Kluyveromyces lactis: one gene and its partner. The protein of the gene in region 1 interacts with the protein of each later gene in a pairwise test. Links are inferred from orthologs where the notes say so. Each region holds a gene or a part of one and is shown on either strand. Other genes may lie near its edges.

Region 1 (4,439 bases):
ACGATCGTAACCTGCAGCAGACATAGGATATGTGGTTATAGGGATTCCCAATTGACGATTGAGATTCAGTAGTTACAGGAAGATCAATGAGTTGCCAGGTTCTTCGTATATCTTGGTAAAGGTAACTGTAGTGCGTTGATGTGTTTGCCACCAAAATTATTTAAAAGTTGAAATTAGAGTTAAAATTGAAATGAAATATTAAGGAAGGGGAAGACAACTGAGATAATGCAATCAATAAGAAAAAAAACAGCAACATCAAAAAACACAAGCAAAGCATCCGTGTTACGGTTTTGCGCTACCAAGTCTCAGAATGAGTCCCAGTCTTCTAGATCTAGAGACGCAACTAGCGTTCTACAAAGCTTATCATAACAATACTGGGAATGTGTTAATTCATAGCATTTTTGTCCCAACGATTCTCTTTACATCCATGCGTATATTGAACGACGTTAAGATCTGGAATGGCTATACCTTGACTCATTTGTTAGCGTTGTCATTTGGGTTGTTCTATATACTGTTACGAGTAGGTACCGGAATCCTTGCGTCGTTGATATTGGCACTGACGTGCAAATTTTTGAACGACGGGACTATTAAGATGACACAGACCACTGCCTGGATATTATTTGTGATCAGTTGGATCTTCCAGTTCATTGGCCACGGTGTTTTCGAGAAGCGCAAACCTGCGCTTCTCGATAACTTGGTGCAAAGTCTTGTGCTAGCGCCATACTTCATCCTTTACGAATTACTATTTATTTTAGGGTTCATGCCTGAACTTAAGAAGAATCTACAAGCTCGTGTTGACAAAGAGCTAGATCGTATGAGAGCGAGTAAATAAACTTAACCTCCGTTCGCCTAAACAGTATATATGCTCTATTTATGACTTCTATGATGATGACAATAACGATACTTGAACCCATGATGGAATTGAAACATCAATCACGTGATATAGAAATGATCTCTTTTTTTTCTTCTTTCTATCAGATCTCTGCGATTCGCAGTCACATGACTAGAACTGGGCAAGAACCCCTTTTTATTTCCAGATCCGGGATCACCGTATCATCATGTACGAAACACAACCCCGGGTAACCAAAGGATCACAGAAAAACAATTCGAAAACTGCAGGTTCTTGTACCACACTGCCAGGAACCGGTGCTGCGTGCTGTCGGTATTTTCATTTGTTCTTTTTCTGAGTGAAAATGAGAGAATCAGAAAATGAGAAAAGATTAGGCCCAAAATAATTGAATAAGTCTATCAATATACTTAGAACATATATAAATATATATATGTCTATACATATATAAGTAATTCGTATAAACAAGTTTTAGCTTGAATTGGGTTAGAAAGGCCAGACAAACTCTTGAGGTTTAGATAGAGTGCGCGAGTTGCATTGCAATTGTGCAAAAGAGAAAAAAAAAAACCAATCAAAACGGAGAAATAAAAGGAAATAGCATAATACCGAAAAGAGACGACAAAAAGGAAGTGTCTCGTATTCCTGCATTCTTTTAGTTTTTGATTTCAATTTAGTTTGGATAATTAAATTTGATTGGCGATTTGTATAGGGATCCTCTTGGCCTTGTATACAATCTGGAAGCTTATAGGTCCTTTTACTTGGCTCCTGACGCATTTAAATACCTACAATGACGGTGTTTTTGGGTGTTTACCAGGCGCTTTACGATTATTCTGCGCAAACAGATGAGGAACTAACTGTCAAAGAGGGTGATCTATTGTATCTTTTAGAAAAATCTAGCATTGATGATTGGTGGACCGTTAAGAAGAGAGTTATCGGATCTGATCAGGATGAACCCGTAGGTTTGGTCCCCAAGACATATATTGAAGAGGCTCCAGTGATTGGGAGTGTAGTTGCGCTTTACGATTATGAACAAGTTCAGAATGCCAATGAGGAATTGGTATTCCATGAAAACGATACGTTCCAATTGTATGACGATAGGGATGCAGATTGGTTCTTGGTGAAGAATACCAAGAATTCAGAGGTTGGGTTTGTGCCAGGTAATTACGTGGAAAAACAATCGCAGCAAGCTGGAGGTCCCGCTGCAGGAGTTACACAGTCTAAGCACCAAGCCCCAGCTGTTCTACCCCTTTCTGAACTTCCAGCTCCACCTCAGAGGTTGGACAGAGTCAATTCTCAACCATCATTCAGAAGCGGATCTACCCCTGCTGGCGCTGCAAGTACAGCAGATGCTCCAGGAGCTCCATCTACATCGACACCACCACCAGCATCAAATGCAGGCGTTGCGTCTCATACAACTATGCCAGTTGATGTTTCACTGCTCCCTCCACCTCCAAAGAGAAACGATACGGCAACCACAGAAGTCCAGCGTGAGTCAGCAGTAGCAGAACCTCCAGCAATGCCTCAAAGACCTTCTAATACTGAACACCAAACAAGTTATCGTGATGACCCAAGAGACAATAATAGAACTTCCCAAATAACTAGAGATTATTCAGATGATGAGCGTGATTACGATTTCGATGACGATGAGGAAGATCAACCTCCACTGCCATCTAGAAATGGAAGACCTTCAGCCTCGACCGCTGAACATGTTTGGTCTGTTAGTGAGGTTGATGGTCGTAAGAAATGTAAAGCTACGTTGACTGTTTCTGCTGAACGTATTCATTTCTTCTCTGCAAAGACAAAAGTGGATCAAGAATGGGCAGTTAAAGATTTGATCAACTATAACAATGAAAAAAAGCATCTATTTCTTGAATTTAAAAACCCTTACATTAACTTGGAATTGCATACTGGCTCTAACGATCTGGCTAACGAGATCATGGGCGTCTTGGGTGAGATTAAAGGTGCCCAGACAGCAGTTGGGTTACGTGAAGTTGAAGCTGCTTCAAGGCCTGCCATGACCAAGAAAAGAGCTAAAGCTGTATATGACTTTTTCGCTAACTCTCCTGATGAACTCACCGTTAAAGAAGGCGACTACATTAATATCTTAGATGACAGGACTTCGAAAGACTGGTATATGTGTGAATCTGTAGAAACAGGTAAAAGAGGCATTGTCCCCGCACAATTTGTCGAAACACGCGGATCAGGCTCATCAAGGCCTTCTGATGAAAGCCCTTCTAGGAGTAAGTCTAAGACCAGATCCAGATCTAACACTTCTAACTTTACTCAAAATTTAGTTGGCAGCTGGAAAGAGGATGCTGATCAAGATGTATCGAAGAAAAAGTCTAAAACTTCGAGCTTTTTCTCCAAGAAGAAGAAAACTGATGATAAAGAGTTCCCTGATCCTAAAAAGGTTAGAATTTGGGTAGACAGAAGTGGTACTTTCAAAGTTGAAGCACAGTTTTTGGGCTGTGTCGATGGGAAGGTTAACTTACATAAGGTGAACGGTGTGAAAATTGCTGTTGCTGCAGACAAATTGTCCGAAGATGATATTTTGTATGTGGAAAGATTGACGGGTATGTCTATGGAGAAATTCAAACATAAACCCAAGAGTTCAAATAATGACAGTAGTGCAGTAAACGCAGAACGTGAAAGAAGAAGAAAGGCTAAGGAGCGTGAACGGGAACTTGAAGAAAGAGAACGTGATAGACAATTAAGAGAGCAAGAACTTAAAGAGTTAAAGAGGGCTAGAGATCTCTTGGAAAGCGAAAGAGAAAAGCTGAGGAGTGCACAAGACAAAGAACTGCCACCTGTGAAACCACCAAGACCAGGCAGTGAAGCAAGCAAAACGCACCCTGTCACAAAGAGCTCCAAGAATCCCGAATACGATTGGTTCGAATTTTTCTTGAATGCTGGTGTTGATGTCAACAATTGTCAACGCTACACCATTAATTTCGAAAGAGAGCAAATTAGTGAAGAAATCTTGCCAGATATCGAGCCTTCTTTATTAAGAAACTTAGGTCTACGTGAAGGTGACATTTTAAGAGTAATGAAGTATCTAGATAACAAGTTTGGCAGAACAAAGGAGGCTTCTCCATCAACTGGATTGTTTACTGAAGCCGATGGATCCTTGAAGGTTAACCATACAGGTGCTCCCGCATCTGCAGGCGTATCTCATAATCTATTACCAGATAGTAATTCATCGAATAGAGATGATGATGCATGGACTGTTAGACCTGCTGCTAAAGCCAGCGACAGCTCCAACAAGGCTCAGGATTTCTCTGGGTCACTTCAAGATTTGCTTGATTTGCAACCTTTAGAGCCGAAGAAGAAAGAAACACCAGCTCCAGATGTCAAGCATCTAGAATCTGTCACCACTAACGGTTCGAATAAAAAGGAAGAAACCCCTCTGTCAGCAAATAAGACGGGTACTTCTTTGGTTCCATTAGATCCATTCAAAACTGGTGGTAATAATCTAATCCCTATTACTACAGGGGGATTCATTATGATGCCAGTAGCAACAGGCGGTTTAATGCCATTCCAACCGACTGGGGGGCTAGTACCTCTGCAAAGGACTGGAGGTATGATTGCACCT
Region 2 (3,005 bases), about 550 kb from region 1:
TTTCCGTGAAGTTTCAGCGGAAGAACAGCAACAACTGCAAGACGAGATGAATCTCATCAAAAGGTACCAAGATATGAAGGAAGCTGCAAAAGCAGAGCAAAGTAGAAAGGAAGAAGCAGAATTGAAAGAAAAGGAAAGGGAAAAGGCAAAACAACAGGATGCTGAGAACGGTGCTGCAACATCTTCACTTACCGCACCATCCATGTCGTCCATATCCAACAATTCTCCATCTCCATCGCAAGTCATGGATGGCTTTTATAAGATCGAGAAGTACATTAAGGATGCTGAGTACACCAGAGCCATTCCCTTGATATACGATTCTAACACTCAGAGTGATTTTAGAAAATTGATAAAAGCTCCAGGCAACATCTCTGGATTTAGAAACAAATTGAAGATATTGTTCGAGGACTATTACCACCGAGTCACTAGTAATCCACCTGATCACTACAGATCTGTCTTTGAAAATTTTATTCAAAGATGCAAATCTGCTCCTTTGCCTCAAACCAAGACACCTGGAAGTATGTATGAAGATGAAGTAGTACCTGTTAAACCTTCATCGAAGTACAGTGGTGAAAGATGGAACTCCAACACTTCCAGTAACCGTCCAATACCTAGTGAACCAAGAAAGGCAGCTTCTTCTCGTTATCAACATGGTATAGCCTCAACAACTCTGCCAAGAGCACCAGCCAACGCGTCTAAGCCTCCGGATACTTCCTCAAGACCATCTGGTCCTGCAAGCTCAGGTTCATCTAGCAGATTCCAAAACACATTACCATCTGGCCCAAGAAAAGATTCGTCTAGCAACAGAAGTATCAGCAATTCAAACACATCACAGCTTCCTAGCAGACCATTCAATCAAGGGAAGAAATTCGTTAATACTCCCTCCGAACCACGAAAGAGGCAATCTGATGAATCTTACCAAAGTTCAAGCAGATTCTCAAACGTTAAAAAGCCTAAGTTGAACGATCGTTCTACAAATAACCAATCGCCATTACCATCTGGTCCAAAAAGACAATCTGGAGGATCGAGATATTCGAGGTGAATAAAAATACTTAACTCGACACTTAGTTAAATAGCATAGCATAATATATGCTACCAATTATCTTCGATTTTGTACGGTCTTTCCCTGAGACTCTGATGCTTCTTACCACGTAAAACTGTCAATATGAAAAATGTTGAAAAACATAGACCTATGTAAATATAAGATTGAATCAAGCTAAACTACATATTTACAGTTTGAATAGAGCTTCTTTATGGGTCAATAAGCACTGTTAACACCTTTCAATCGATATAGGCATTAAGTGTAATGAGCAATAACGTGATAACCGGAGCAAATGGTCGATTAGATGTTTATGTGAGTAAAGCGAAGGACCTTCCAAATCTAAGAAAGTTAGACAAGCAAGATCCTTTCGTCAAGTTAAGAGTAGCTCATCTTACGGAGATATCTCCAGTGATATACAGAGGCGGCCAAACTCCAAAATTTGATTACCATTGTGTTTTTCAACTAACGCCCGATATCAAGCCTCTACTCTGCGTTGAACTGTACGATGACCATGATCACAAACATGGTTCGAAGCTCATTGGGAAGTGCGATGTTGATCTTTTGCCTGCATTACTAAGTGACCCTGAAGAAGGCCATGATAGGTGGTATCATCTGAAGAGGGGTCCTTTGGAAGCTGGTAAGGTGTATATTGAATTGACTTTTGTTCCAAATAACATTAGCGAAGACAGACGCGACAATGTTCCAAAAATAAGTTCCAGTGTACAGTCCAGGTCAGTACCACCACTACCGTCAGATCCACCGGAGTTACATGCACAATATGAACTGCAGACATCGGCAAGTGAGCAGCGGTTCGTTGCTTCCGCATCCCCAGGCCAATACGTTCACGGCTCTCATATAAAATCTCCACTTCCTGATCTACCTATAAACCTCGATACTTCTAGATCATCACACGCTTCAAGTGAAAGAATAGATTTTGATTCATCGATGGGGTCTAATGCTACAGCAAATACCTATCATTCGCAACAAAGCCAATCTACTGATGGGCTGATGGACAAGTTAAAGCTGATCAAAGAAAAATTGAATTATTTCAAGAACGGCTCCTCGGTACCATCTACAGAGAGTATCACCAACACTGCGATGGATTTGGAAGTCTTACAGAAAGTGGTAGGTGGCGGTCTCGAGAGTAGCTCAAGCTCAAGAATACCAACGAACATTGACGAGCCATCGCCTATGAATCACCTTCCTACAAAATCGTTTGTTGAACCGCCATTACCACCTCTTCCGACTACGCCTTCAAGACTATCCAGCCAATCTTCAGTGAGACATTCAGCCGGACAAAAATATCCGTTAAAATCTCCTGTGAGACAACCTACTACTCCAAGGCTACCGAACTTGCCAAATTCTTTTTCTTCGCCTTCTTCAAGATCAGGCTCGGTTTCTCCAACAAGGAGGAGACCACCACCATTATAAATGACTTATTAGAACTACATAATCATTGATAGGATAGACAGTTAAAAGTTTTTCTATCACTACTCATATTAGATGTTCCTCTTATCTTCTCGAAGCCTTGGAATCTAAAATGGTTTCAATCGTTGCACCTTGAATTCTGTCAATGCTAAGCCTTTTTGCATGATTATTCAACCAAAGGGTCCTAAGATGAGAAAAGAATATATAAAGAAAGAACTTTAAAGTAATCGCACAAGAATACTCGAAAGAAGACTCTGCTGTATTATGTTTGATACTATTCGAATTAGGAACCTCACTGCAGTGGATTAATGATACGACAAGATGGTAAATTGATAATTCTGCCCAGTAAAATAACTGTCGGAAAACAGCTTGAAGTTGGAACATACTTCATGTTAAAACTGGGTCAAAATGCAATACGATTCAATTCCATTAGGGGAAACTTAGAACTTAATGTTAGAGCTGCAGACTGGGATACTAATATGGAGTTCATTATATTTAGGCGAAGGCCACGATTGAAGAATGATCTTCTTGGTTG

What was found. The genes of interacting proteins can lie anywhere in the genome.
Region 2: the proteins of SLA1 (region 1) and INN1 interact in a two-hybrid assay, tested with the Saccharomyces cerevisiae proteins (2 studies listed by BioGRID, with this or other methods). The link is inferred for Kluyveromyces lactis from reciprocal best matches to the Saccharomyces cerevisiae genes SLA1 and INN1.

The regions. Positions count from the first base shown.
Region 1 is NC_006037.1:445,983-450,421, reverse strand, and holds the start of SLA1 (cytoskeletal protein-binding protein SLA1), read left to right. Parts: upstream 1-1,634; coding exon 1,635-4,439. Other genes in the region: SCL1 (proteasome core particle subunit alpha 1), read right to left, coding at 1-24; 2-hydroxy-palmitic acid dioxygenase MPO1, read left to right, coding at 311-832. UniProt on the Saccharomyces cerevisiae protein: Component of the PAN1 actin cytoskeleton-regulatory complex required for the internalization of endosomes during actin-coupled endocytosis. The complex links the site of endocytosis to the cell membrane-associated actin cytoskeleton.
Region 2 is NC_006037.1:996,925-999,929, reverse strand, and holds INN1 (Inn1p), read left to right. Parts: upstream 1-1,306; coding exon 1,307-2,473; downstream 2,474-3,005. Other genes in the region: THO2 (Tho2p), read left to right, coding at 1-1,042; KLLA0_A11550g (uncharacterized protein), read left to right, coding at 2,779-3,005. UniProt on the Saccharomyces cerevisiae protein: Required for the ingression of the plasma membrane into the bud neck at the end of cytokinesis, leading to the separation of the mother and daughter cells. Stimulates the synthesis of the primary septum (PS) by CHS2.